3 linked regions of the Coturnix japonica genome follow. The protein of the gene in region 3 interacts with the protein of the main gene of each other region in a biochemical or structural test. Links are inferred from orthologs where the notes say so. Each region holds a gene or a part of one and is shown on either strand. Other genes may lie near its edges. The genes, in order: WNK4, WNK1 and OXSR1.

Evidence for each region.
Region 1: the proteins of OXSR1 (region 3) and WNK4 are reported together in a solved structure, tested with the Homo sapiens proteins (2 studies listed by BioGRID and IntAct, with this or other methods). The link is inferred for Coturnix japonica from reciprocal best matches to the Homo sapiens genes OXSR1 and WNK4.
Region 2: of the proteins of OXSR1 (region 3) and WNK1, one has a biochemical effect on the other in vitro, tested with the Homo sapiens proteins (2 studies listed by BioGRID and IntAct, with this or other methods). The link is inferred for Coturnix japonica from reciprocal best matches to the Homo sapiens genes OXSR1 and WNK1.

The regions. Positions count from the first base shown.
Region 1 is NC_029542.1:4,642,077-4,652,026, reverse strand, and holds the start of WNK4 (serine/threonine-protein kinase WNK4), read right to left. Parts: upstream 8,838-9,950; coding exon 8,415-8,837; intron 4,328-8,414; coding exon 4,155-4,327; intron 3,825-4,154; coding exon 3,604-3,824; intron 3,529-3,603; coding exon 3,371-3,528; intron 2,976-3,370; coding exon 2,887-2,975; intron 2,734-2,886; coding exon 2,514-2,733; intron 2,439-2,513; coding exon 2,114-2,438; intron 1,963-2,113; coding exon 1,832-1,962; intron 1,759-1,831; coding exon 1,691-1,758; intron 1,604-1,690; coding exon 1,462-1,603; intron 1,396-1,461; coding exon 1,279-1,395; intron 1,206-1,278; coding exon 1,050-1,205; intron 799-1,049; coding exon 741-798; intron 639-740; coding exon 519-638; intron 380-518; coding exon 1-379. UniProt on the Homo sapiens protein: Serine/threonine-protein kinase component of the WNK4-SPAK/OSR1 kinase cascade, which acts as a key regulator of ion transport in the distal nephron and blood pressure.
Region 2 is NC_029516.1:52,091,428-52,101,377, reverse strand, and holds the end of WNK1 (serine/threonine-protein kinase WNK1), read left to right. Parts: intron 1-351; coding exon 352-444; intron 445-2,727; coding exon 2,728-2,769; intron 2,770-6,113; coding exon 6,114-6,301; intron 6,302-6,575; coding exon 6,576-6,890; 3' UTR 6,891-7,627; downstream 7,628-9,950. UniProt on the Homo sapiens protein: Serine/threonine-protein kinase component of the WNK1-SPAK/OSR1 kinase cascade, which acts as a key regulator of blood pressure and regulatory volume increase by promoting ion influx.
Region 3 is NC_029517.1:4,325,355-4,335,304, reverse strand, and holds part of OXSR1 (serine/threonine-protein kinase OSR1), read right to left. Parts: intron 9,787-9,950; coding exon 9,721-9,786; intron 9,543-9,720; coding exon 9,420-9,542; intron 6,507-9,419; coding exon 6,471-6,506; intron 5,473-6,470; coding exon 5,317-5,472; intron 2,812-5,316; coding exon 2,738-2,811; intron 2,046-2,737; coding exon 1,993-2,045; intron 998-1,992; coding exon 929-997; intron 57-928; coding exon 1-56. UniProt on the Homo sapiens protein: Effector serine/threonine-protein kinase component of the WNK-SPAK/OSR1 kinase cascade, which is involved in various processes, such as ion transport, response to hypertonic stress and blood pressure.

The sequences.
Region 1 (9,950 bases), on a different chromosome or scaffold from region 3:
GCCATACTGGCAGGGTCAGGGTAAACAAAGCGTGGGGGCCCAAGGATGAGATTCTGTGGCCGAGGCAGCGGTGGAGGGTAGAGGTGCCCACCTGAGCTGGCAATGGAGGAGACAGCAGGCAGTAGCGTGTGTGCCACGCTCATCACTGCCAGGGAAAAGACATTGGCAAGGGACAGGAGGGGAGTGGTTGGGGACCAGGATGTGCTGGTCACAGGGGGGCTCACGGGACTGCTGGGCCCACTGGGGATGGGGGATAAGGGGACCGGCAGGGCAGGGGGAACAGACATCCCTGAGGAGCCTGGGGCTGACTGTAGGAGCACCGGTGGTGCTGTCATCCAGGATGGAGCTGATGAGATGAGGGGCCATGGCTGTGTTGAGCCTGCAGGAAAGAGAAGCATCAGGAGCAGCCCTGAGCACCGTGCCACTGCAAGTCTGGCAAAAGTGCTGCAGCTGGCAGGGCTACGGCTGGGAGCTCTGGGTAGAGAAAGAGCTGAGTGTCACCCTGCCAGGCCTGGTACCTGTGGGGGAGCCTAGCAGTGGTTCTGCAGGGCTGGAAAGGTCACTCTCCAATGGGGAGCTGCTCGGTACTGGCGGGACGGGTGATTGGAGCCAGGTGCTGGGGCTGGTGCATCCCGGGTCTGCAGTGCAAAAGCTCACTTAGGCGTCTAGGACAGGCCTCCTAGAGCCCTCCTGGCTCAGCCAGGGGTGCAGGAAGAGCTCACACAGAGGTGAGGATGTACCACTGAGTGAGGAGGAGGAGATGGACTGCGAGAGCTCCTGCAGCTGCAGCTCTGCCTGCTGGGGAAAGAGAAGCTGAGCTCAGCGCTGGAACAAGCTGAACCAAATCAAGATCGGTCCCCAACCCATCCCCACTGCAAGTGGGGATCAGAGCCCCAGCTCTGTCATGTAGACTGCACCACGACCCGGAGCTGCAGGGCTTCTCCTGCCAGGGCTGGAAAGATTCAGCAGCCGCAGCATATGCCCCGGCACCGGGCAACCTGCAGCCACACTCGGGGTCCCAGCGCAGGGGGCCGGGGCCGGGCACTCACGGGACGGCTGGTGTCACGCTCAGCCTCGGGGCTCTCGGGCAGCTCGGGCGCACTCTGCCCATCCTTGCGCAGCAGAGTCTCCACGCGATGGATGATGTCCTGAATGCGGTGGATGAAGCTGTCCTGCTCCGACTTAAGGATGAACTCATTGTGGACCTGGTGGGGCAGCGCGGTGATGCTCAGTGCCACGGCTGCCCTCTCCCCACTCTTATTCAAGTCCTACACTCACCATGACAGCTGCAATTTCCTCTGGGTTGTCCCCATCCAGGTCGAACTTGAATGTCACCATCTTGTTGTTGTAGGTCTGCAGCTGGCACTCCACCACCCGATCGTTCTTGTCAGAGATCTGCATGCACATGAAGGCTCAGCAGAGGCAGTGGGGACGCATTTACCCTGACACCATGGCACTCACATTGGTGATGCGCAGCCGGGACCGAGCTCGGCGCCGCTGCAGCCTCCCCACTGCCCGCTTGGCTGGCAGCTTGGTGCTCTGCTCGCCGGCAGAGAGCCCCTCGTAGCCGTCGCTCATGCCCGATGCCACATCCGAGGCATAGCTGCAGGATGCCCAGGTACATGAATGTGGCTGTTCCCAACTGCAGCCCCCTTCCTAGGCAGCTCCAGCCCAGGATCCCAGTGCTTACCTGTCCACTGGAGAAGAGAAGCCACTGGCTGTGGGCAGGCGCTCAGTGGGTAGCTGCACTGCGATGCTCTGTGGGGAAGGGATGCTGTGAACCAGAGCCACCACCACTGCCACCCTGACCCTTCCAGCATTATGGGCTCACCGTGGGGAAGCAACGTGTGGGGCGGATGGGTGGGGGGCTAGTGGGAGTCCCCATTGAAGCACTGTGATGAGACACATCCAGGGAGTCGAGGAAGCCAGAGGAGCTCAAGTAGCCATCTGTTTCGCAGTCGGCTGCAAACAAGCACAAACGTGAGCGTGGCCAGACCTGGAGACCCTCTTCCCAGCTCTCAGCTCCCCTTTAGTGAACAGCCTTGGGGTGGGATGCATAGGTGTGGCTAGAGGAGCGGGAGAGCCCCATGCCCACTTCTCTGTGCCTACATACAGGTGGCCGAGGAGTAGCTCGTGTGCCGGTACACGAAGTGCTGATCAGCCTCAGGTTCCTCAGGCTCTGGTGGGAAGGTGCTGCTGAAAACAGAGTCCCTGGAGCCGGTGGTGGCTGGGGCAGGTGCAGGGACACCTGGTGCCAGTGGGGACTTGAGGTCCTCCAACAGCTTCAAGACACCCGGCGCCTGCCCCAGCTCAGCCTGTGGCAACACATCCTGAGCACGCTTCAGTTTCTCCCGCTTGCGCTTGATGGCGACCACACGGTCCCGCACCGCCTTCGCCACCAGCTTGTAGTCAGCCTCGCAGACAAAGCCCAGGACCACCTGCACAGGAGTGGAGCGGTATCAGCCCGCAGGGACCCCAACGGTGTCCCACCCCCTCCACCTCGCAGCACCCACCATTTCCTGGGCCACCTCCTCTGCCACATCCTTGTAGAGCTCGAAGAGAAACTCGATGGCATTGTTGTCCTTGTACTTGCCATGCAGCTTCTTTGTGTCATCCATCCGCAGCCACAGCTTGAGCCCTGACTTGATGCCATCATCTTCCTCAGCCAGCTCCACATGCACCCCCGTGTCCTCCTGGAAGAAGGAGTGCTCCAGCAGGTCCTGGATGGTGTATCTGGGGGAAAACGCTGCTCAGTGTGAGGACACAGCCCATTGCTCTGGATGGCAGCAAGGGACAGGGCAGAGGGACCATGTGTGGATGCACACAGGGTTGCAGACATTCAAGGCAGGGCTCTGCAGCACCGTGTCCTCTCCTGGTCTCTCCCACCTTTCATCCTTATCCATGCGAATGCAGCCCTCAATGATCTCCTTCAGCTCAGGTACCTTCACTTTGTAGAAGCTGCTGGGCTTCAGGCCCTGGGCAGAGGCAGACAGCACCCATCAGGAAGCTGCAGGGTGCCCTGGTGACCCTAAGACAGTGCCCTGTGGGGCCAGAACCTGCTCGGCAGCAGGATCCAGCACAGGGCTCCAGCCCAGAAGGCAGAAGCTGGCTGGGTCCAGCCGGGGCAGCCACGATGCCCTGGGGACAGAACAGCCAAGCAGCTCCGTTCCACCCTATGAGCGCACGGGGTGAGGCACATGGGCGTCCCTACCCTCTGCTGGCCCTGGCAAAGCTCATGGAGCTGAGCACCTTCTCAGCTCCCAGTCTAATTTTAGCTTCTTGCATAACCTGCTGAGTGGAATACTTCTGGAGCAGCGCGGTCCAGCAGCTCCCACCACACCACCCCTTCCTCCAGCCCTGAGGCACTCACTGAGGTGACCTTGCGATAGATCTGGGCAGCGTTCTGGCACTCTGAGTAGGGGTATTCCGAGGTGGCCATCTCCAGCATGCACATCCCAAAGGCATATACATCAACGGATTCATCATATTTCTCCTCATACATCTCGGGGGCCATGAACTCTGGGGTTCCTGGGAGCACACAGCATGGACAATGATGCGCCTGTCCCCACACACACCTCCACACCCCCCATGACCCCATCCCACCTATCACACTCTTGGCAAAGGAGGCACGTTTAAGCGTGGCCAGCCCCAGGTCCCCGATCTTGACAGAGCCGGTGGGGCCGGTGATGAAGATGTTGTCACACTTGAGGTCACGGTGGATGATGGGGGGTGAGCGAGTGTGTAGGAAGTGCAGCCCTTTGAGGATCTGGCGGCTCCAGCGCTGCAGCACTTTCAGCTTCATCTCCTTGAACCTCTTCAAGTAGCTGCGAGGGGGCAGGGCTGGCACCACAGCACCCCACGGACACTGACACAACCCCGTTCCCCACGCCTGACCATGATCCCACCACCACCATTGAGCTGCAAACAGCACGCAGCAGCCAGGGGCTCCCTGTACCCCCTCCCAGAGGCAGCACAGAAAATGCAGCTAAATCCAAGCCAAGATGCCAGTGCCAGGAGAGCAGTGGGAGCCAAGAGTGAGCGCTGCCCTGTGACACCCTGGGCCCCCCCAGCCCATGTGCTGGCTATCGCTCCACAGCAGAGCCCTCCCTCACCTCTTCTTCCCTGCACACTCTGATCCATCAGCCCCCACTCACGTCTTAAGAGTGCCAGACGTCATTAACTCAGTGACCAGCACAATGCAGATCTGCCCTTTGACGGATGACTTCCAGGAGTCGTAGAAGCGAACGATGTTGGGATGCTGCAGCCCCTTCAGCATCTCCACCTCCTCGCTGAAGCGCTGCCGCTCTGTCTTAGACAGCTTCCGTGTCTGCAGGGGCAGGAGGGAGTGAGGGGTACATGGGGCTGTGGAGCTGTCACATCCCACCCCCCTCCCTGCGCTCAGCCTCGTGCATGGCTCTGACGGAGCCACTTGCCTCATCAATCAGGCCAGGGAGGGATGGATCCCCCTGTGCTGAGCTGCGTGTGAAACCCACCCTGAGCCGGCTGCCCAGACCCATAGCCAATGCTCGGTGCCCAGCACCAGAATGGGCATTGCTAGCCCCACACTTCTAAGTGCTCAACCTGCTGTTCTGCCTCGTGCAGACCTGTCTGCCCCTGTCCTGGGCAGCTCCTGCCCTCCGCTGCTGCACAGCAGCTGCAGGCACCAGGCACCTTCATGGCAGGGAGCCGGCCTGCCTCAATGAGGCCTTTGTTGGGGAAAGCAGGCGTGGGAGGCTCCAGCCCAGGTTTTTCCATGTTCCTCCAGCTAGAGTTAATTAAAGTTGAAGCCAAAGAGAGCTGACACAGGCACTGAGCAGGGCTGCAGGGAGGATGCAGACCCTATAGGGCCCTCTACAGCAGAACATGGGGATGCAGAAGGAGCACGAACGTGCCCCACACCCCGTGCCCCAGCACAGCCCTGGTGCAATGACCTTTACTCTGCACAGAGCCAAAGGGACCAGGGAGCACAGAGCCCAGGAGCTGGCACAGAGTCCCAGGAGCCCAGGTGGCAGCAGTGCCAACAGCATTAGCGAGGTGCCCCCATTGCTGGGTGCTGCCTGTCCCAAGCACAGCTCTTTGGCTGCCAGCCGCCATCCAGCAGCTTTTGTAATATTTTCATTGCATCATAACTGGCCCCATGGCTGGGCTGGAGCTGCTCCATAATCCCCTCTCTTCCTTAATACATGCTCAGGGACCCAGCTCAGCCCAGAGGAGAACTTGAGCCTTGCTGCAGTGGATGAATGGGATCTTTCATAGCCAGAGAGGAAAACAGCGCCCCAAGGCCCCTGAGCCGCCCAGCACACACCCTGCCCCCCCAGCCCACCACCACCTACTGCAGAGCTTCAAGGAGCTCAGAGGTCTGGCTGCACCCCATGGAGCCACGGGGCAGCTGTGCAGGCTGCGGCCAGGGCTCAAGGACTGTCAATGTGGCTCCCTACATTCAGTGAAGGGGGACCAGGGTGGCATGTGGACGTGTCCCCCAGGGAGCCTGAAGCAAAGATAAAGGGAGCCCCACTCTTCCCTCAAGCCTGTGATGGATCATTCCAAAGATGGAGACAGGCACCTCAAGGGCTCTGCCCTGCCCTGCAGGGTGAGTGGTACCCAGCATGACCCCAGTCCCACTGGAGACACTCAGGCTGGGATCGCAGTGCAGGGCAGCACACAATGTACAGCTGGGGCTGCCAGCAGAGCTGTCTGCCTGGGACACAGTGTCTTTTCCTAGCAGACACCTTCTGAGGAGGAAGAGGAGAACGATGGGGATGGCAGCGCAGTGCTGGGGAAATAGTCCAGCTTCATCCTAGGGCCAGGAGATGGCTGCTAGTGTGCACAGCTGCAGAGCTGGAGCAGCGCCTGTGGCATCGTGTGCTGCTCACCTCAGCCAGAGGGTCCCAGCAGCATCAATCAGTGAAAGACTGCACTGTGCAGAGCTGAGAGTCACACCAGGAGGAGAAGCACCCAGGGCCATCTGTAGAGGTGCTCAGTGGGAATGGCACAGGCTCTGGGCACTCAGAGCCCTGAGGACACAGTCCCTGCAGCCACACAGGAATCCAAGAGCACCCAGTTCTTCTCCTAGTGGGTGCCTGCACCACCTGCTCCATTCCCAAACCTCCGACCCCCTTCAAGCATTCCCCTCTCAGCTCTCAGCCTCCCACCAGCACAGGATCCAGAGCAGATCTCTGGCAGCATGGCAGCACCCGCCCTATAGGGCTGCTCCTCCCCCCTCCAGAGGGGTCCCCACAGACAAACTACGCATGGGCAACTTATTTACAGCTCAATCCCACTCTGGGCTTCTGGTTTCCTCCCCACTTCCTCCTTTCCCCCAGCCCTCAGCACCTAACAGAAATAGTCTCAAATCTAAAGCTGGAAAGCACAACAGGTCATGGCAGGTCTGTGGGATGCAGGGACACACAGCACTGCACAGGGCTGCGGGCAGTGGGGACAAAGAGGCCCCCAAGGGGTCCTACAGGAAGGCAGAGAAAAGGCTTTGGGCAACCTGGTGGTGAGACAGGGCCAGGACAAGAGCCAGGATTTGAGACTGGGAGGCTGGATGAGGCTCCTGGGACCGGAACTGCATTCAGGGCTGAGGTTAGGTGTTCATTTATATTTTAAAGGTAATAAAAGGAGAACTGTGAAAGACACGGGACAAAGCTATTTTTAAAGGGGCAGAACCACAACCATTTTTATTTGCGGTTCCAAATCCTGTATTTGTGTCACAGTGTCTGATTCTTTGCATGATTGCTGGAAAAAACAAGCTTTAACAAGTTTGCTTGTGTGCTGCCAGACCCTCACGGGATGTGCACTTGGGGACAAGAAGCACTGAATAAAGAGCAGAGGGGACTGTTTTGGGGCTGCCTCTGCTCCACCCAGAGGGTGCTGCTCTAATCCCCAGGCACCTGAATGTAACTGGCACACGGTGCCAGCCCAAGCTGCAGGACAAGTGCTGGGGACTGCAGCCCAACTCCCACAGACACCCTGGTTCGGTACGCTGGGTACGCAAGGGGATGCAGCCCAGCACAGTGCACATGAGTACCAAGCTGTGCTGTCAGCTCCAGGATTTGCTATGGCTGCAGTTGGGGCACAGTGGGGCACACGGGCATGGCCCCACAGCAGGAACGTGAGGCAGCCAGGTGGGATGTGCTGGGCATGAGCGGCTCCTCTATTAGCCACATTCAGCAGAGATGCTGCTCTCACCAGCACTGAGCTGTGGCTTCCTGTGCTGGTGAGGGCACAGTCAGGAGCTCAGGGATCTTAGAAGGGAGACATGGGCATAGCAAAAGGGGAGCACTGAGCGGCTCTGGGGAATCTGAAGCAGTTGCCCCATCTCACAATACTGAGGCCTAGAACCACATCCTCCTCTCACAGGCTGTAGTCACCCCTCCAAAAGTCACACACCATTATCTAAAGGATCTCTCCTTGCATTACTGGGTTGCAGCCATCCCATGCGGACGCGCCAAGGCTTTAGGAACAAGACAACAAACTTGCAAGACATGTTTTTCTCTGTAAACAAGGACTTGGACCTTCCAGCTGCAGCAGCCACCCCCGGGGCAGGAATCTGTTGGAGACTTTGGACTTCACCAAAGCCCCTCCCTGGGGGCTGCAAGGAGAAATCTGGAGCCCCACTGCCAAGATCTGCTACTGCAGCCTCACTGCCACAGCCAGAACTGCTCCCAGCACACGCAGGAGGGGACTGCTGTGCTCAGCTGCCCAGCATCACATCCTGCTGCTGGGGAGCAGTGGAGGAGAAGATGGGGAAGCCACAGGTTCAGATGCTGTTAGCGGGGAGCACCTGGAAGCGTCATAGAAACCCATGTGGGTGCCCACAGGCACCACTTCAACCAAGGACAAGCAGCTGACGTGCAGCAAGGACGTTCTGTACCCTGCACCTTTTCGCACCCAGCCCCCGGCTACCTGCAGCACTTGCTCCAGAGCCTTCCCAGAGCTAACGAAGTGCACCTCCGAGCCAACTCCGGCACTGAGACGGCTCCCCTACCCTGTCTGCGCTTCCAAATGACGATCTGTGAGCTGATGAGCACAGAAAGTAGCGGGGTGCAGCCCAGCCCGGATTTTCCCCCACTGCCCCAGAGCGGGGCTGGAGCCGCGGGCAGGGGCAGCAGGCGCCCCATGAGCGCTCCGTAGCTCAGGCAGCGACACAGCAACGGGAAAACAACGTGCGACGGTGGGAGGGACGACGAGCGCGGGGCTGAGCGCGCAGCCGAACCCCGGGGCACCGGCAGCGCACGGAGGGTCCAAACCCCCCGCACGTTCCCAGCCCCACCGCTGCAGCGGAGAGCGCTGGGTGCGCTGCGGGGGGACCGAGGCTCCCTGCCGAGCAGCCCCTGCCTGAGTGCCCCTGTTCCTGGGCTGCGTCACCCCGAGCTGTGCCGTGCCGTAAGGTGAGCACCCTGCCCTCGTACCTGCAGCTCGCACCACGCCACCTCCACTGTTGTCTCCGTGTCCAGCCCCTTATAGACGGTTTTGAAGGAGCCCCTTCCAATCTCGATGTCAAACTTCAGGAAGCGGCCGTCGGGAGAAGTGGCCACGGCGCGCGTCTCCACCTCCTCGCTCTCCGTCTCCTCCGGCTCCCGGTGAGACGCGGCGTCCGACGGCGGCGGTGACCCCGCGCTCGGCCCCGGGTAGCCCAGCAGCTCCAGCTCCACCGAACTCCGCCGGTTGAAGCGGGAGGAAGCGCGGCGGGAGTCTCGTCCCGATGGCCTCCGGTTACGGTTACGGTGCGGTGCTCTACCGGGGAGCCCCGGCTCCACCGGGGAGCCGCCGCCTGCCCGCTCCGCCTCGGGCTGGGACATGGTTCCAGCGGCGACGGGCTCGACCGTCAGCATCAGCTCCCGCAGCTTCGCACCCCGCAAACAGAAGCTCCCCGAGCCCCGACACGGGCCCCGGCACCGGCGTGGCCACGCCCAGCGGCACCCGCCCCTCCCCGGCGCGGCCACCGCCCCCCAGTCCCCGTTGCACCGGGGTGGGCATTGGCAACGGGAAGGGCACCGGAGCGAGCGCTGTTGTAGGTGCGGTGCCAAGCATCGGGGCGAGCGCTGGGATGGGCGCGGGATACGGGCTGCGCACCGAGAGGCATCAGGTCCTGGGGCGGGCACCGGGCACCAGAATGGAGACTGGAGCAAGCACCGGGACGGGCACCGGGCACCGCCAGCACCAGGACTTCCCCCATACAGGGCCCACATCGACCCCGAGCCCCTGTGCCTGGGCAGGGCTGTAGTGATCCCACTCGTTCATTCCAGCAGCGATGGGTCCGTGCAGGGCCAGGTGATGTGCGGCCATGTTGGGCTCCGGGGCAGTGTTTGCTTCAGCCGCTCTCAGAGCTGTAGCTGAGAAGTTTCAGGGCAGTGCCGGTGCCTGAAGCTGCACGTCACTGTCCTGGGCACTGCCGTGCTGTCAGATCCTGCCCTCCCGGGCAGCTGCTGCTCTCAGGGTTCAGTACCAGGTGAACTCCTGAAATGAGGGTCACACAAATACTAAGATGTGAAGGTATCCTTCAGCCTCACGCTCACCAGGAGCCTGGACAAGAGCTTGTTGTCTCCACAGTGTAAATGATGAGGTTGTTCTACCCTGTAAAGCTGTTTACACAAAATACAGAGCAATCGATTCTAGCGTTAATTTCTTTTCCCTAAGGTCAGATTGTTTCTACTCAGCGGTACAGGAAACATTAAGGGTTGAAATGTTAACACAGCCGTGTTCTTTGCGCAGATTTAAAGTGCCAACGCTGTGATGCAGAATCCAGCTGCTCTCACCCACAGCTACACGAATCCCCATCCAGCTGGATGGATGAAGAAGCACGTGTTGAGTGTTGTTGCCACAGAAGTCCTGGGCAGGCTGCACAGCCCCCTGCACACAGGCAGGACTCTGTACCTTCATGCTCCCCTAGAAAGAGGACTGGGGAAACCTCCAGGAAGGGAAAACCCAGTGACAGTGCTGAGCTG
Region 2 (9,950 bases), on a different chromosome or scaffold from region 3:
TTCAAGTACTTTTGAAGCTACTTGTGGCTCCCTGTACATAGTGCTGTACGGTATCTTCTACAATTAGATGCTTTTGCTGGCATTTGGCTTTCCTACCAGTGGAAACCCCATTGCTGGGTTATAAATTGGAGGTTAACACAGCAAACTTGGCCTCGTGTTCACTGTACTGAAGGCGAGTCTCTTCACTCCGTATGTTGTCTGCATACTCTTTGGTCCACTCTTTGAAGCTTACTCTTGTGTGCCATGTTAATGCATTTCACCCTTCCAACCTCAAGTTGCTAACATCTTGTAGTGGTGTTCTGTCTCTTCTCCTCTCCTTTCTCTGTTCTACCCGTTTTTGTTTTCTCACAGGCTGTGCGAAGTTTAACTGTGCATCTGAGAGAGTGACGTTCAAGCCTGGTGGCAGGAGGACCCGATTTCTGAGTACGCCCTGCTTGGCTCTTTGTGTGTAACACCTTTACTCCTTCCTTGTCTTTTTTTGTTTTGTTTTGTCTTTTTGTTTTCTTCTGCTGCTTGGATCTGTTTCATGCAGCCCATCCTCATCTGCCATCTCGTATTCCCTCCCATTCCATGGCTAGGCTGAGTTGCTCTTAGCATACCTTTAGAAGTTTGGGTTCTCGTGTTAGGTACTCTGTTTTTAAACTGTTTTAACACTGATTTCTCTAAGCTTTTGGTGAAAACTTCTCTGGGCAGGTCAGTGAAACGGCAGAAATTGAGGTTGGCTTGCCAGATGTGATATACCGGGCCTTTTCTTTTGGCCTGCTTATTAATTACACTTCAGTATATATTAGCTGCCATGAGACTAGCAGGATGACTATTCTTTCCTAGGGAAACAGTGAGGAAGATTTGTTTCCCAAATTACTCCTTTGTTTGGGGCACTGTTGTAACTGAAGGCAGAGGGGTTGTGTAGCTTCCTTCCAGCAGTGTGCTTGCTGTTCAGGTTGGGTATTTATGCATGCTGTCAGCACCAGTGCTGATCACAGTGCAGAGCATTGATGCCACCTGTAGGCAGTTAACATCGACTTCTTGTGTTTGTTAGCAGATGGAGATTAAAAAATCAAAACTTAAAAATAGTTATAGAATATTTTCAGGTCAGCTCAACTGGGCCACAGATTTAGAAGCTCTTAATGTGAATCATAGACAGACTAAATATGATGCACATAGCAGTACAGGTGGGGAAATGGCCATCTTCAGACATTCTGTCAACCCTTGCAAGTTACCTTGCAGCCTTTCTCAACATCCTTTCGCTGGTGCTTATGTTACACCAGATTCAAAAGAGAGCCTCAAACTTCTGATGTGATTGTCTGAACTAACGATGTGCTTGAGCTGAGGCTGCTGCTGCAATGCTTTTTTTTTTTGGAGAGCGCTGCGACATCTCCCATGCTGCTGCTGCAGGCTGGACCCTTTGAATGCTCTGACATTTGTTTCCCAGACTCCAGAATGACTTGATATGAGAGTTCCGAGTGCTGAAAAGAGACCTTCAGTTGCTGCACTGCCTAATGTACCATGCATCTGTAGCATCTGTCTTGCTGCAGTTGGCAGCCAGAGAATTGTGTGTAGGAATGAGACCGGGCTTTCTGCAGAGACAGCTGCAATGCAACCAGCACAATCCTCCAAGGCAGCAGAGACAGAGAGGAGAAGCATATTTGTGGCTGCTGAATTTTGCAATGATATCTCATTGGATTTTAGATATATTACTGTGCGGATACTGCAGTAGCAAACATCTGCAGTTCAAAGACTTTTAACAGCTCCTTTCTTGGAAATACTTATATGCTTACCAAAGCAAACTCTTTAAAATCCTCTCTTGTCTGCCCTATCCCATCCTTTTTTGGGTTAGAGAGTATAATGAACAACTACTTCACTTCTGGAATTGACAGTGAACTGAGTGTGAGAGTGTCATGTATTTCTAAGGCTCTGGCTTGCTGCAAACTGTATGCCATCTGGCTCTATGAGTACATTGGCATGTATATCCTTTGCCTGTGGGGCTGGTGCTAAGAAAAATGGATTCTTATTGAAATGTGTGTTGCAGCTGTCCTGCAAAAGCAGGTCATACTCGTAAAGGCATGGCACAGCTTGGCCTGGCACTCAGCTCATTACAGGCTGTTTGCTTCCTGGAGTCTTGTCCTTCAAGTGCTATTGCAGACTGTTATGGAGAGTGACAACTGGGAAAGATGCTGGGTTCAAATCAGCAGCGTTGAGAAAACAGTGCAGTAGTTGATGCTTGTAACTGTGCAGTGGGAGAAATAGAGTGGTACAGCCTGGCGGGGAAGGTCTGTCCCACGGATATGGGAAGGCCTGAGAGAACAAGGTGACAAACCATGAGAGCACTTGGCTTATCAAATTCTTCTCACTTTGTGACAGTCAAACTTGATAGCTGTAAAGCGCTTTCCAAAGCCCTGACAAAAATGCAAGATGTGTTTGCTTTGCTTGTGTAGTAACAGCCAATTGAAACAGTAATGTTTCCTGCCATTCTTCACTACAGTTTGGGCAATCTGGAATACTAAAAAATAAACGCAGAAGGCCAAACCGTTTCTTTTTCTGAAAATTCAGCTCATGAAACTGTCAGAGCAATCTCAGGCTTTTTCATAGAACATACCAGAACTTTCAAGAGCCCTCCTGTGCCATGCCCTCTGTTTCTCACCAAGCTTTTCATACTGTTTGCTGATACTAAACATTTCTCACTGTTTCTCTTTATCTTTAACAAATGACTCTCTCTTTGTGCTTCAGGGAAGATGGTGAAAAAAGTCTGTCCTTGCAACCAGCTCTGTAGTAATTATCTTATTTCTGTTATCTCCAGCTCCTGACTGTAAAGCTATTCATTGGCTTTTTCTGGTCACTGAAGCCTTGCCTCCCTGACTCTGTCTCCAGCACAGCATCTGTCTGTCTCCGTTATGCCCTCTAATGTATACTCTGTTGTTAGCATATCTGCATAGCGTGGCTATTACCTTTGCAGAAAAGTGGAGGCAGAGCCTCACTTTCCCTGAGCGACGACTCCTTGCTCACTGCTAATGACAGTGAATTGAGCATCGAGGACAGCTGCTCACTGTGATGCGCTAACGCTGTACCTTTGAGCAGCTGGTTTCTTTATGTATCTGACGGGTTCTGCCACCTCAGTGACAGCTCCAATGGCAGAGTCTCCTTCAGCATTGCAAGAGTAAGCCATCTGATCTCAATCCATGTCCTTTTGTAAGAGATGTGTAGGAAAGCCACCATATGGTCACGTCCTTGAAGACTTTGTAAAGGTGCCTTTTGACTGTTGGCTCATGGTGAGATTTAAAAATTTAAAATTAATAAGAAAAGGTTAAAAAGGCTGGGTGTGAAATGAAGGCATTGTGGGTGGCAGGCTGGAGAAAGGAGAAGCCTGTTTCACTTCAGGTCCTTCATGTCAGAGAAGGAATGGGGACGGCTGCTGTGACCAAGCAGGAATGCGGGGGTTTGTTTCCATTAAAAGCCACGAATTGAAACACTTCCTTCTCACACTCTTCTGGATGGCAGCTCCAGTAGGTGACAGCTACACCAGGGTTAAAATGTGAAGTTCCTAAGAAGTCAGTTTTTACAATGACGCTATGGAAGCTCCAGTAATTTTACAGCTCACCTCTTCTAACCTAGGCTGGTCTGCCCTCAGGTCATCTGTGACCTGAGATAGGAGTTCCACAATAAAATCACCTTGCAGACAAGTCTCTTTGCCCCCCACTTTTCCTGTTCAGCTTAAACCCTGGACTAAACCATGAGCCAGTCCTCTTCAGAACACTTCAGCTTTCCTAAACAGTTTTTTCACATCTTTGGATGAATGCACTGTAGTATTTCATGATTAACTCTCTCCATTGCATGGCCTGAAGAGGCTCTTCAGCGTAGAGCCAAGATCACAGGTTGCCAGCTGTGCGCTTAGTGATTAACATAGAAATATGAGACATGAGAACCAGATATTGGCCATCATGAAGAGTATGAGAGGAAGTGTGTCAATCCCTGCATGAGCCCTCATGGTGGAATGTGGTTGTTACTGGTTTCAACACCTCGTCTTGAGTTTCATTTTGTTGTTTTTGCCTGTTTTGTCTTTAATTTCACCTTCTTTTTCTCAGTCACTGTTGTTATTAAGTAAGATGTGGTGCATGCTTAAAGTTTTCATTATTTTATTGTAGATTTTTCCTTGCCACCTTACGGTATGTTTCTGTTAGCGTTCATCTGAGCTGCAACTGCACTCCCTGGTCAGGGAACCCTATTCTCTCCTTCCCTGTGTGCTGTTGCATGCCTCTGCCTGCCTGTAACAGCTGCTGCCCCTCTGGTGAGCATCCTCACTGGGAGCCATCTCCATGCTTGAGCTGGAACTGGTGGGAGGGAGGTGTGTCCTTCCCTCTTCAGCACTACTAGAGGCGGTAACACTTTGCTTATTTGTCCCGTGTAGTAAGTATGTCACCTTCCTAATTCACTCCTTAATGTAAAGCATTCCTGCAGGGGTTTGGAGCCAGTTGGTTTGTTCTTTGATGCCGTAGTTGCAAGGAGTGTGGCTGCTAGCCAGGGAGGGTAGCACAGAGGAGTTAGAATTGCAGTATCATTAAGGTTGGAGAAGACCGCTAAGATCTTCCAGTCCAACCAGCCCAACACCACCATGCCCACTGACCACATCCCTCAGTGCCACATCCACACGGTTACTGAGCACCTCCAGGGACAGTGACCCTACCACCTCCCTGAGCAGCCTGTGCCACTGTAGCACCACTCCTTCTGAGAAATCAGCTGTCAGGCAGGAGCCAGTGACTGTCATTGGAAATGACCGTCTTCGCTAGGAATTTTGATGGTCAACTTTTAATCAGTTTTCTGCAGAAATTCTGCCGTACGCTCAGGTTTTCTGGGCTTCCCAATTGCAGCCTTCAGAGCAAGCAAGTAAAATATTTGAAGATATTTGAAAACCAGTTAGGTGAAGGTGCTTGCAGTGAATGCAGGGCTTAGCTCTATACTGATGAGGAACTTGTTTTCAGTTAAAGGGATCTGAGAATTGCAGTTTCGTTCTGCCTTCCCCATGGCCCTACTGGGTCCCATATCTAGAAATGAATGAATACATCCCAGAAGTATCTTCCACATCTGGGATGAAAACACTGCTGGAAATTAGAAAGCTTACCTGATAATGGACAACTTTGGCTACTGCTAGGATATCTGTCTTGTGAAGAGCTTCATCTTGAGTGAAGCTTGTTGCTTACAAGGGTGAGGCAGTGAGCGAGGCTATTGTACACAAACATTCTGGATGTTTTCTGCAGGGTGCTGTTCGGCAAACTTTCTAGAAGAACCAGATCCCCAGTATTCATGTGAAGGGTTTTTGTTCTTGTGGGCGACCCAGTGAACAGAAAATCATGTCAGAGCGCATCCAAGGAACTGGTCTCATTTCTGCCTTCTTTAAGCTGTATTAGTTATTTGCATCTGAAATGCTGATTCTTCTGGCTAGGAAATCTGAACATCATGGCAAAAAAAAAAGTGCTTTCAGAGGGGAAAAGCAAAATTTAACACAGTGCATGCTTCCCCTGCTGATCTCCGTTCTTTAGTGGATGAAGACTATCCCGTCTGGTTATCCTCAAGTATGGCAGCTGTTGGAAACAACAGTTGCTGTTTCTCATTGTGGCTTTTTGTGTAATCTGAGTGAATTTTTCCCCTTCATTTTAAGAAGTGGAGATAATTTTCTACAGAGCAGCTGGCTGTGCTGTTTGTAGTACTCCATATTCAGCCTCCAGCATTGCCCTCTGAGGCAGAATTGACTTGTGCTGGTAGTGTTTGCTACTAATTAAATGGTGTAGGATGAAAGAATGACACGACTACTGTCATTTGGTGCTGAAATCTAATCTCCTTTTTCTTCTACAAAGACCTGTAGGCTGCTGCTGTTCCCCTGTCAAGATGACTACTTGCAGGACTTCTTGAAGGAAACATCCGTGAAATATTAATAATCTGAGAAAATGCCTGTAGGAGTCCTCGTAGTTCCTACTTCAGCTTGTCTTGGAATTGAAACCTAGACTTAAACTGCATGGCATTTTAATTGGCTCTCTATCGTTGTACCATTGCCACAATTATTAAACTCAGTGAAGGAAGCTGATCTCGACCCCAGTTTTGATTCCCATTTCTTGTGTTTTTAGGGACCAGTAGCACTAACGCAGTTGGGGCTACAGTGAACAGCCAAGCACCCCAGTCTCAGCCTACTGCTATTGCCTCCAGCCGAAAAGGGACTTTCACAGATGACCTGCACAAGCTGGTAGATAACTGGGCCCGAGATGCCATGAACCTGTCTGGCAAGAAAGTTGGCAAAGGGCATAGCAACTATGAGGTAAGATTTAACCCATGAATGTTTACGGTAAGAAGCTGTCGGGTCTCATTGCCTATCTCAATCCAGGTATCCTGGCCAATTGCTCTACAGAAATGTTGGGTAAACCTTGTGTGTGCAGTATTATATTGCTGATCTGGAGGAGAAGAGGGATAGCTGAAGAGTGCGGCCGTGGTGTATTCTTGCAGACAGTCATTTGGAACGGCCTGCGGGCCAAGGGGATAGCCGTTGGCTTGTAAGAACGGTCATTTAACCTGGAGGTTGGATTTTCTTTCAGGGCCCTGGAATGGCAAGAAAATTCTCAGCACCAGGTCAGCTCTGTATCTCTATGACATCTTCCCTGGGTGCTACGCCCATCTCTGCAGCATCAGCTACCTCTTTAGGTCCCTTCACGAAGGCCATGTGCCCTCCACAGCAGTACAGTTACCCAGTGGCGTCTTTTGCCGCTCCATGGAGTGGGACGAGCGGTCCGGCACAGCAACCGCTTGGCCAGTTCCAGCCCGTAGGTGCCACGTCTTTGCAAAGCTTCAACATCACGGGTTTGCAGAAGTCCATCAGCAACCCTCCAGGCTCCAACCTGCGGACCACTTAGCCCTGCCCGGAGAGCGTGCTGGCTAGACCTCGGGACAGGACGTGGGGAGGGAGATGGGGCCCTTTGTCAACTCCTAGTGCTGCAATGAACTGGTTTGCTTGCCAGACTGGGAATTAATTTCTCTTTTCCACCTGTTGCTGTTAACTTTCTGTAAAGGGGGCTTCCCCACATGCTTTCAAGGGGGAGGAGGATGATCGGCATCCTTAGTTTGGGACAGTTCTTTTGACTCGAGGGCTCCCGCTTGTGTGTGAAGCGAGAGCCGTGAAGATCAGTCACGGGGCAGTTAACGCAGTCTTGCTGTAAAATTTCTCTGGTTTGAGGCTGAATCCGCGTATGTCAAGATGGGAGAGTTGAATCCTAGCATGAGGCTTTAGCGCACTTCTCTCCCTGAAGATCCGAGACCAGCTGTCCAAATCCCCCTCCTCTCCCTCTCCCCACTCAATCGTTATTTGGCTCCAAAACGATGGGGCGCCCGAATGGACTTGCAGTGCAGCCCGTGCTTGATAGGTCATTACTGCTTTAAGTAAGATATTAACAGCTTTGACTGCAGCATTAGAGCAATTTAAATTGTTTAAAGATTTTTTAAAAGTTCCCTGCGGACATGTACTTACCATCAGTTTTGATGTGGAAACACTGTGATATATAAATGTTGTTGGACAACAGTAGTTTAAAAATGAGTGGAATATAGAGGGTTAAAAAAGTTAAAAAGTTAAAAAAAAAAAAAATGGGAAAAAAAAGCTAGCTATATCCTTATACTTATTGGAGACACTTTAACTTTTTCCTTTGTATTTTCATTGTATTAGATAAATAAATGTGAATGTAAAATTGTATAAATTAATGTACTTGAATACTTGTCTGTTCTCCCAGTATGCTTGCTGGATATTTTAGTGCCTTGGACTTCTATTGCTTCTGCAGTTAGCGTTGTCTTCCCAGCAGACCCCAGGTGGATGGAGGGGCAAGTTCAGAGAAGGCCGCATTGGTAGTACCTGTGGAGGGGGGCTTTACCACCGGCACAGTGATACTGATACCAGGCAGAGCAGGTGCAGCGGGTTGGAACTGAGCTCCGAGTGATGGGAAACTTGGCTGAGGGCATGATCCGATGTTGCTAGTGTGATGAGGGCCAGGTGGGGCAGGACGGAGGGCTGTGTGTGAAGCCGGAATGAGACGAACCGCTGTTATGTAGAGGCAGGAGGTCTGGATCAGGAATGGAGAGGATGGGGAGAAGGTGTGTCTGTGGGAAGGGTCCAACTTGAGGTGCAGTGTGTCCCCACCTGAGAAGTGGTGAAGGTGTTTGGTCAGGAAGTGACTTGAGGGAGAGGTGCCATTGCTCATTGGCGTGGGCTCGTTTGCTGGGATCGCTTTTCTTTCTTTGTTTTGTTGTGGTTTTTTGGTTGGTTGTGTTTGGTTGTTTTTTTTTAGCCATTGCCGCCAGGAATAGTCTTGTCCTGGCACAATGTCCATTGCCGGCAATGGATGCACTTGAAACAGCCGGCATCAAGAATTTTCCTCAGTCTTATATGGAGGATTTATTTACGCTTTAGTTCACTCTTATCAGATTTGCAGCTGGTACTGGGCCTGTAGCCGTCACCTCTGAGTTAGCCGTACTGTACCTTTGCTGTGTTCATCCTCCCTTTTCCTATTTAAGAATACTGGTTTCCTCCACAACGTTAAAATAATACCAGCCAGTATTTACAGAGTGCTGCAAAGAGCTGTGAGGGGTCGGTGCTGCTTCCCGGCGCTGGGGCGGCTCACTGCTGTCCGGAGGTTGGAGCACGCAGGAGATTGTCTCTTGCCCAGGTTGTTTATTCCCTGAGCGTGCTGTTCCCCTGTGGAGCTTTAACAGGGAGCTTTTCTGTCTGCGAGTGTCCTCACCTTCATTTTGTTTGCAAAGAGATGTGCGGGATCCATTCCTTTCCTCTTACTTTTTTGTTTGTTCTTTTTTTTTCTTTTCTCCAGCATTTTTGGCAGCAAGGGAATGTACCGAGTGGAGAGAGAGAGTGAGATGCCAGAAGAGGGCAAAAGCCAGCAGCAGGGAGCCTGAGCTCCGAGATCCTTAGGTTTGAGGGCTCGTTCTTTGTGACCTCAGTGCGGAGTGGAGCTGTGGGAGAAGTCCGTGGTGGGAAGGGGCAGAAGCAGGGGGGGAATGGGGGGAGAAGGCCCACTGCTCTGCTCTTTGTCCTGGATGGTGCAGAGGTTTCCCAGATAGGCCAGGTGGGAGGTGAGAGGTGCACCTGGGGGTAAAGGAAGCGGTTGCCGGCCCCAGATGGTGCTGACACACAAGAGGGGGATGCTTGCGACAGGGGAACTGATGAAGCTGAGCGCAGCACGTGGTTATTTAATTTTGATCTAATACGTTTGAAGTTGTTTTCACTTAATGTTATGCAAGAGCTGGTTTTATTTACCATTGATCTCCCTCCTCCCCCTCCTCCCCCTTCCTGTGGATAAATAACTGAAGTCTAGAGGAATAAACTAATGCTACTGAACTGTTAAATTATTTTGTTTAATATTACACTTTGAGTATCTTTTTTTCCACATAAAATCTGTTTCTGAATTACAAGCGTTTTCTTTACGTTATTTAACAATGTACACTGTAAAAAAAAAATAAAAAAATAAAAAATAAATAAAATTAAAAAAACCCAATAATAATAATAAAAAAAAGTTGCAACTTTCGGGCTTTCCCTGGCCACAAGTCAGTCGTGTGTTTGGCAGCGTCACCCTGGCTGCTCTCCCTTCTATGGTTGCGCTTCATGCTGCAGTTTGTCACCTCTGCAGGACATTGCAGGAAAGAAACCAAACGTGCTTTGCTGGGCGCTGGGTTGTTTTTTTCTCTTGGCCTCTCCTGGCTGCTCCCGCAGTGATATAACGGCTGCGCTATTGATAAGGGTTACTGGTTTGCTGCTGGGTCAGTCCTTCTCTTCTCTGGTTCAGAAGGGAGCAACGGTGCTGGGCGCTGCCTTTATTTAGTCCGGATCCAGCCTCAATTCCACCCCCCAAACTTGCAACTCTACCAGCGCAGTGTAAGAGGGGAACTACACAGAGCCGTTCTCAAGCAGCCATCGG
Region 3 (9,950 bases):
AGTGACGGATCTGTTTGCTTGGGGCTCTTCCACAATTTTCTGCAAATTAGCTGCAACTGAAATCACACACACACACACAACAAGAAAGATGGGCAAATATTAGGTCAGGACAGAGAAAAACACCCCAAACTCATAAGGTCTCTTTATATTACTCAAACTTTGAACAGGTTAAAATGATACAAGAAGTTTAGGCTTCCATTAGACTCAGTTTATTTAAATCTAAAGACTTTTGTTACGGTGCTTCTTTTTTCCTCAAAGTCTAATTAGTAGTATCAAGATTTCCAAACATGCCTGAAAATCCATTTACTTTTACACCAGCTGCCCTTCCAGATATTGCAGGAACAGTTTTGCTTTCTGTAGTTGAAATACCCAGGTACTGTTAGCAGTTAAAAGTCTCACCTGCTGCATAAAGTGGACATGTTTATTTAGGAAAGTGTGCTTGGAAGTATTTATTCATACACACTTGAGTACGGAAACAACACATGCTGTTGCTTTAGCCCAAGTGCACTGCATGCAATAGTGCTTCATACTTCCTTCCACAGACTGCCTTAAAACAAAAAAGCCTGGCTGATTCCAGTCCCAGACCTCTCTTTGTGCAGAACCTGTCAGCAGTACAGGCTTGTGCAGCAATTTGGCAGTGCCTGTGTCAGATGAGACTGATTTAGTCAATGCACTGATTAACTTTCATTTCACATTTCGGGGAACATTTGCTTTGTAATCTTTCCAACTAGATTCTATTCTTGTGAACCAAAGGTTGCATAAATATATTTGGGCACAGAACTGCCACTGGAATTACCAACAGTTTTATAGTGCCACTGGGGAAGAGAATCAAGGCCATGGAGAACTCCCCTGCACCCACTCATCAGGTCATTTTAAAGATGCAGAAATGACTGAAATGGTTAGAGCAGAAGAAAGAACTGATAATTACCTATTACCAGATCTCTGCCATCAACAAGCCCTGCTGAAATTAGTTCCTGAGACACACCATCAGCAGTATCTGTTGGGGAGAAACACAAGAACTGGTTACCATACGAAAGAAATTGTCCAGCTGACACAAGTACCACATGGAAATCCAGAAGCTTGCACAAAAAACCAAACAGCAACAACACTGTCTATGTGAGACAGTGTGTGCAAGCTGCTGACTTTCATTTCAAGTTTAATTTTCCTAATGCTGACTAGAAAGAGTTGTCTGTACTGAGCTGGAAATGTTCTGTTTTCTGAGCTGGAAGGACTGTGCAGTTCCAGGCTTGCTTGTTTTTCCCTACCCTTGTCAGGGCAAATCCTGAGGCTACCCTAAACTTTGCAGAGTCCTTGGCCTTCTCAAAGACCTGAGATATTCCCTTCTAAGTCAGTAAAGAAATCCATCCACTCACCCAATTCAGGGCACACCTTAATTACACCCTACTGAAGAGGTGTCTTTCACTGTGTAGTAAGGCAGCCTAAAGGACAAACTGCTGCAAGCCAGACATTTACATAAGCAAGTTCTAGGCTTGCATGTCTATTCCACAATAAAAGGGTGTCGTGTCAGTGAACTGACTTGGTAGGGCAACAGATCTTCTAAGTGGAAGGGGAAAGCCAAACAAACTAGTATCTGCATTGCTGTGCTCTCAGGTCAGTTCTTCTAGCTATTCATTTTCAATATGTGATCAAAAGGGAAAGGGGAAAACCAGACGCTTCTATACCTCAACCCGCCTACTGCTTACAGCACTGCAGTAAGACAGTTCTGTGCTATGCTTCCAGACTCCAAGCTAAAAAGCACTGAATGGCTGTAACTCAGTCATATTTGTAACAGTTTTACATGAGAAGCCTCTCAGCTGCAGCGTTCAATTGACCTAACAGCTCAATCATAACTCAAGCCATAGAATACCCTTGGGAAGGCAGGAGAGGCAGGCACACACATGGCATCTCCATACACCCAACTGAACAATATCAAACACAAAAGGTCCCTTTAAACAAACCACCCACACGCACCCAAATGTCACAGCAGCTCACCTCTCCCTGGTGTAAATTCAAATCGGATGTCATTGAGTTCTTTTTTTGAATTCCTGGGGAAAGAAGAAAATGTTATATGGAAGGGAACATTTCATTGCACTAAGCAATGCTCAAAAAGAACACTGTGCTACCACTGAAGAACTGGTCTGTGAAGAAAACTGAGTTCACTACACTCTTCCTCCTCCTCTTCCTCCTGCTAAGAACCAACCCAGTGCCCATCTACAACCAACACAGCCATGGAAATGAGAGACAGATTCCTTAAACGAGAAAAGTCAACATGCATAATGATGACAAAGTGCACTTATAACCCTTTTTCTATCTTTTCCAGGGACATGAACCAGAACCCAAGTCTTGAATTGGATAAAAGCTCTTCAGTCTCAGAACTAGCTGACTGAAGTTGTGTTGGATTATCCGGCTACTGAGGCACATGGCCAAGATCCCTGGATCCCTGGCCCTCTTTTGGAGAACCCAGCTTCCTTCCCAGACTATCAGAGTTCAGGGAGATGTATTCAAGTATCAAAACCTTCTTCAACCTAATTCTTGTCAAACTGGAGAAGTAGATGAGATGAAAACTGCTGTTCTTAGTCCCAGTTTCAGGAGGTGAACAGAATCCAAGCTGACAAACAATTTGTGGCCACAGCTTTTCAAATAGAAGGGCACACAACAAGATGCACTATGGAGTTCTTCCAGTGTCCCTCTCTACAAAGGCTCGCTTTGACATAACAGATCAGTTAGGTGTCCTTACCTTAACCTTAGTACAAGGCTGATGGGGACTTTCGTATCTTCCTGTACCGGAGCTGCAGCGGGGGCAGGTGGGGCCTGCAATAGGATTATGTTATTTTATAAGAGACTAATGCTTCTTTTCTGTAGCATTAAAATTAGAGACAACCTCAATCAACTATAAGTAACAATAAACATTTAACTCATGATTGGAGTCCTAACAATACAATGAAAATCAAGACAGAATGAAATGGGAAAGCTCTGTGCTTAAATAGTAAATCAGGATGTTCTCTGCAACTGTCTCCAGGAAAGGAAATGCTACACAACTTTATGAAACGTCAAATTAGCAAGAAACTTCAGAATAGATACTTAATGTAAAGAGAGTGCTTGTTTTGCCTCAAAACATTAAGGTTTTCAGGCATTCTTCCCTCATCATGAAGTGCCTGCCAATCATCAGGCACTTCAAGACCTCCTGTGTTTTAATCTCTGCCCCAAACATCTGATTTACAAATGTGATACAACTGTGAAGAGTACAGAGGAAAAAAATTAAATGGTAGATTAGCATAGACTCCCAATTTACTTTTTAGGTAAACTGGGGACTTCAGCTACCTATTTTCACTTCTAAATTAGTTCTGAGTAATTACTGGTACCTGCAGTCAAAGCATTTTATAGTGCTGAGCAGCAGATTTCCAGTAGGAAAGATCCATCTTTATAGCACTTGTGATACTTCCAGTAAAGGACTAATTATTAATCAAACTCTACAAAAAACAACAACAAAAAGCAACCAAAAACCTCGCACTCACTGAAAAAAGTCAATTACTCTTTCTCTGTACAAATTATCTGTGCTGCACGTGCTGAGCCAGGGATTTTAAATCTGCAGTAACAAGACAGACAACGTCTAGCTGATCTTTTAAGCCTAGAAACCTTGACCACGTTCTTTGTTTCATCCAGATCACTGGTTTATTTTTCATGAGAGAAAATGATCATCCTTTGTTTCAGAATCGTTTTCTACTCCATCCATTGGTGCTCTTCTGTCACCAATGCAGCTCACAGCTACTGACCACAGCCTGGGATCTGCTAAAGCTGTAAGCTTTACCAGTGAAAACAAGCAGAAGATGATAAAAAGCACTGAGGTCTATAAAATGGGAGCAAACAAGCTACAAGAACCAAAGGGAAGTTATAAGGAAGAACACCATAACACACAGAGGTATGAAGTTCAACTTAGGACAAGCTACCAATAAATAAGCTATTGGGGCATAGCGGCAGGGAACTGGATACTCCACTAGTACAAATCAAAACACTTTAATTGAGGCCAACATGGCAACATCAATTTACTGAATTGATGAGTCCTGGCCTTCACTGTTGCTGGTGTTTCAACTGCTGCATAGAATTCAGGGATTAAATACTGGCTTTTTTTTTTCCCCTTCTCTTCCCCAAGAGATGTGAAAGTTTGATTTAAGCACTAAGGCTACTTATACCACAGCCAAGAATGCGACAGATCTCATCTCCACTGTTTTTGTTTAATGACTAATGCACTATCTTTAATGGCTCTGTAAACAGGAACACGAGCTGCCTGCAGTGAAGCGACACACACATCTTTTCAGTTTCCCTAAAACACAAATAATGAAATGTTTCTAGGAAGGAGCAAGTCTAAGTTATTTTTCTGACTGACACTGCCAAGTTTCTTCCCTCTGCATCTGCCAGTGGGTGATGCTACCTTGGACCCATCCAACTGACACAGCTTCTGCCCATCAACATAAATGAACATTAGCATCTTTTACGAAGAGGTGCCATCACTCAGGAGTTTGGCACACTCTGCAGTGCTTAACCACAAGAAACGTTCCAAGCATCTCCGTAATTATTTGGTTTGGCCTTTTTTTCTCTTTTTAACACACGTTAGAGCTCCTTCCCAATTTTGGCACGTCTGCCTATATGAACTAAAACCTACAATTTTTAGTGATGCAGTTAGAAATTAAACATGGGCTTGTAAAGCCTTTTAAATTCCCTGTTCTCCCATCTCAGCTTGAAATGGATGTGCTTGAAAATACCACAAGATTTAGAGTTCCCCAAAGAGTTTTCTCTGATATTTTTTTTACTACTATGAAGACAGTAACAAGCTAGGCCCCTTTTCTCTCCTTCGATGCCTGGAGAACCTACATGTTCTAGTTTCTTCCTTTCATTTTTCTCTCCACTCTTATCCCACAGACTGCAATGATGTGGGAGCAAACACAATCAGAATCTATTTTTGGAGCACCTTAAAAACTTGTCCTCAAACACCAGGAATAAGCAGCTGCCACTGAAACCACTCTCCCTTCTTACCTTTAGCCTTACCTTAAAGCAAACACTGCACTCCCTTGATGGCATAAAAACATAAATCACTGCTCACCCACAGTGAAAGTTTCACCAGAAGAACTAAAAACTGCTGAGCTCACATTGGCTCTCTTCCTTTTACAGCTACCAGGCCAGCTGTCACTTCTATGTAAACAGCAGCACTCATGCAACTCCAGACAAGCAACTTTCAAGGCTGTCTTCCATTTAATCACGTCTCAGACACAACGGTGAAGTGCAAAGCTGAAAGGCAGTACAAGAGGTTTTTAACCTTACCTGAGCTGCTGCTGGGGCTGCTGGAGGAGCCTGACTGGGGGGAGGTACAGCAGCCTGAGGTTGTGCAGGTGCTGGTCCTGCAGCCTGAGGTAGTTGAGTAGGTGCCTGTGCTGGAGCATTGAGTGAGGGAGCTGGAGGCTCAGCTGATGGGAATAACTGCAGGCAGAAAGGTGTCTGAATGAGAAATAGATGCAGGCAAAACATATCCAAGCTTGGAAAAGGTGTAGGACAGGATATTCTCTCAAACTTTGATGCCTACTTATATTTCCTAGTAGCCAGACAGTCAGAATACAGCAACTCTGCTAGTTGTAAAGCACTTTAGCATCTATCAATTATTTATCTGTTTGTAAAACAAATGTCAGAGTCAGAGCACTTAGGTATTCAAGTGAAAACTGCTTTTCTACATAGCACCAGTGCTTCAAAGCATATAAAACAAACTCTTTGGGACTGCACTTACTAAAGACAGCTCCTTATCAAGAAAACATATACACAATGTAGCTGTGGAGATAGGGAGGAGAGCTAAAGAAGTTTAACCTTTCTGTTGCTCTTAACTCCAGTTATTTGAAACAGAGTAATTGGTTTTGACATGATGGCCAAAGAACTGTGAACTTGGTGGCACTTCTCCAACTCACTCCACTGAATTGTAGGAAACATAACTCACCTTGGATGCTTAAAGCCTGAGAATTAGATCTTCAAACCACAATATATATTAGGGGATGTATCACAGTGGAGAAATTCATCCCAAATGGATTATGGTTTCATTTCTGATTTCAGAGTTAGGTAAAAATTATACTACAAGAACTGCAGTCTTAAGACCTCCTTTTATAATCAATCATTGGAAACAGGAAAGTAGAACAGGGCAGCCTAACCCAAGACTAACTCCTAGGGCAAAATCTTTTCACATAGGTAAGGAAAGGAAGGACACAGTGCATGCTCTAGGAAATAAGCAGCCTGTATCACTGAAAGATAAGATATATTCCTAATGTAAGAAGCACAAGATACAGCTGAACGCAGATTACAAACTACAATTAAGTTTTGTTTGCAATCAAATGCTACTAGAGATTTATTTCACAGCTTTGAGCGGAGGTTCCTACTCAGTGTATTTGTAACAGAAATAATAAGTTACCATATTTGGGAAGACATTTAATACTTACCTCTGAATTCTGTACAGGTTCTTTCACTCTGGGAGACTGAAAAAACAACAAGAAAAGGTTGTCATTGCTTTGACAGAAATTAAACTTATCAGCTAGAAGGACTTGTCAGAGTTGTACTGAATGGATAAAACTGTTGTGTTTTGGTTTTTCTTTAATTACATATAAATGTTAAGATGTTTAATGAAACGAAAGCCACAGTTTGGTGGCTAATTAATCATATTATAGAACCCAGAAACTCATAGTCATGTCTCAGGAGCTGTAGTTGGCATACAGTGGTATGCAATACATAAGCTGCTCTGTTAACCAATAACAAGATCAAGCGTTCTTGAAGATCACTCAAGATTAGCTCGAGCTGCTTGTGCAAGATCCATTGTAAGCTACCCAAATCTTGCATAAAAAGATAAGCAAGAGATCAAGAGATCTGCTTTGCAAAATTCCATTAGATCAGTGTAATGTGGAAGAAAGTGCAGTCAAAACAATTTGGTCAATTTTTGCTTATCAATAAACAAAGACAAGAAGCATTAATTATTTCACATGGACAGAAAGGAATTGCTAAGAATTCCTGAAAAGCTCTGCAATTAAGATAGCCTGCATTTTTGGCTACTAACAGGTCCAATTACTGTAAAGAGATAAGACAGGTCCATGCTGGGATTAACAAAATAAATGTTCTTCTACACCTGGTGCCTAAAAGACAACCTGATATCAGGACAGTATGAGTTTGACAGAATGAAAGTCATCACGACACTAAACTAGAGGCAATTTATGCAATAACCAATGCCAATGACTTAACCAGTACAGGTCAGGACAATTTGTAATGTATGGCCCAGAGGCATCTCACTAGAGAAAAAGAAAAGGTTTTATTTGGAGAATAGCAATTTGCAAAAAGCCATCTGGACAGAAGGAGAAGGAACAGCTCCTTCACAGTGACTAACTGCAGACAGTGTCAGGAAGAAGAAGTCACACAGCTGGAAAGGTAGATGCTGAAATCCAACCTGGAAGGTTAAAGGCTGAAATCCATCTTGATGTGTTAAGCCTTCACTTGACAGTGACCAGGCAAAGACGAAAAATATGGCATTGCTCCCAGAGGTAAATAGCAATGCTCCACATCTGCAGGCCTCAGTTTTAGTGCTGTTCTCTCATGCAGAAAGTTCGTATCCAAGAGCACCCGGGCGCCTCAAGGAATAACTCAACCAGAGCTTGTCCAAAAGATCAGTGTGTCAGACACTGTACAGACAAGCATGGGACACAGGCCCTGCCCTGCAGCTAATCAGCCCAGATAAAGGGCAAGCAGAGATAAACTAAGGAAAAGACATGAACAGGCAGAATGGAAGTAAGAGAAACATTAGAATGTATTTATACAAATAGGTACAAATAGGACGACTGGAGGGGACATGCTTAAATATACATGCACACAGGCAGAAAACTTTTTTACTATTAATATTTGTCTGACTTCAGGGACAGAAAAAACAAGGTGGATTTAATAAAGTGGAAACTGACAGTAAAATACAAACTATTTATGTAAAGCTTTTATAGAGGATAGTAGTAAAGTACCTCAGCAAATAAAGCCAGACGATAAGCCATCCTTTAAGGCTGACAGCAGTAAAATTCAGGTGCAGCAGGAAAAAATAAAGGCTACAGTCTAAACTCACACTATTAAACTGCAATGGGATTACAGGCAGGTGGAATTCATGTAGCATTTGACATACGGTTAAAACAGAGGATTAACACTAGCCCCTCCATAACGTTGCTGTATTTGGAACAAATGTTCACAATTTAGATCCAAGTCTTAAAAGGGGATCAAAAGCAAGAGGTGTATGGGTGCTCCTACTCTTTTCCCTTTGGGCTCCACAAAACAAAGACACTCAGGGCCCAAAAGTGAAGGCCAAGAACATCCCAAATTAAAGAGACGAGAACAGAAAACAGTAGAAGAAAATATTGAAAAAGCTTCAAGAAAAGCCAATAAACTAAAAAGTAACTTGAAAAAGAGCTGGTAAACATATGTTTTTCTGCATAAGAGGAATGAAACAACTAAGTACTGTTCAAATAACTGGTATTAGTTGATAGGATTCTGAGCTTAGAGACAAGATAGAAGACGTTCTAATTAACCTCCAAAATAGAGTTAGGGCCTTTTAGAGTATTCCATCCTACAGATTGATCGTATTTTAGTCTATAAGAGAGATTTAGAGGATTTAAGCTTATAAAGAATATCAGTAATACCCACCAGCTACCAAGAGATCTTCCTTAACTGCACAAAGGAGCGGATGCGGTGAGCTCTTTAAAGTCACATATCTGTTGCCACAAATTATTACATGGAATTGCTACACTAATGGCTATCTGAAAAAACTAAGATTTCAAAAGATACTAAAGGATGGCTTTAAATATTGTATTTCTACATAGATCACACCAGCAGTAGGATGACAGAAGTGGAAGTTCCCTCCTTGCAACTTCAGGGATGGGATAGGATTTTCTACTAGGGACTATTAGATCTCAGTGTAACTGAGAGTAAAGAACTAGATTCTGTTTCAGATATCAGCTGTAAGAACAGGCCACGTTAATTCCAGTTCCATCTTGCAGATTGCAGTAAGATAAAACCTCTCTTGAGACTTCCAGAAGAAAGCACCTTAAACAGGCAGTTGCCTTAAATACGAAGAATATCCAAACTCAAGTGAATTAGCATGCCAAGCTGGGAGCACACTGTCTGAATTCCTGCTCTCAATTATGCTCAACATCCCTGAATTAGACCAGCTGTGTCTCAGAATGACTACAGGAAGGAAATCAGTAAGAACTTCAACCTTCAGTCTGCTTTCTCTGGTTTGGCTGCAAACTTGAGGGGAGCGATAACAATAATTAACTGTATATCACACTTAAAACAAAGCTTGACCCACTCCAGGGATATTTACACATCCTGCAGTTTGAAAACAGAAAGCTGTTGGGAATCTGAGGACTCACCCTGAGCTGTGAAATTGCTGCTCTGCCTTCCTCGCTTTCTTCATCTAGTTCATCATCACTCCATTCCCAGCCGCCATCCTCAGTCTTATGGAGACGCCCGCTGGATCCTGGGACTCTCCTCACCTGTTCAGCACAACGACAGGACAAGGAAATTGCTTTTAGAGTCATTTTGTTTTAAAAGGAGAAATGCATCTTCAGTCAGTGTGTTCAAACATTCAATAAAACATCTACTATATCTAGAAAATACTGTACTGCAATAATGCTTGTTAAAAACTAGTACAACCCAGAAGCTTTGCAGTACCTTTTTGGATCTTTCAGTAATTGTTGGTGCTCTCTGTAACATCTTCTCTTGTAAGAACTCTTTATTCTGCAAAAGGAAAAAAAGGAGAATAGCTGAACATTTACATTGCTGGAAATACCTGAAATTCCTTCAGGGCTTCTGATAACTAAGCTGTTTAAAATAATTTCTAATGCTTCCCCCTCTTTTCTTCTCAAAGAGAGACTAAGGACAATTTTACTGCTGTCTTCCTT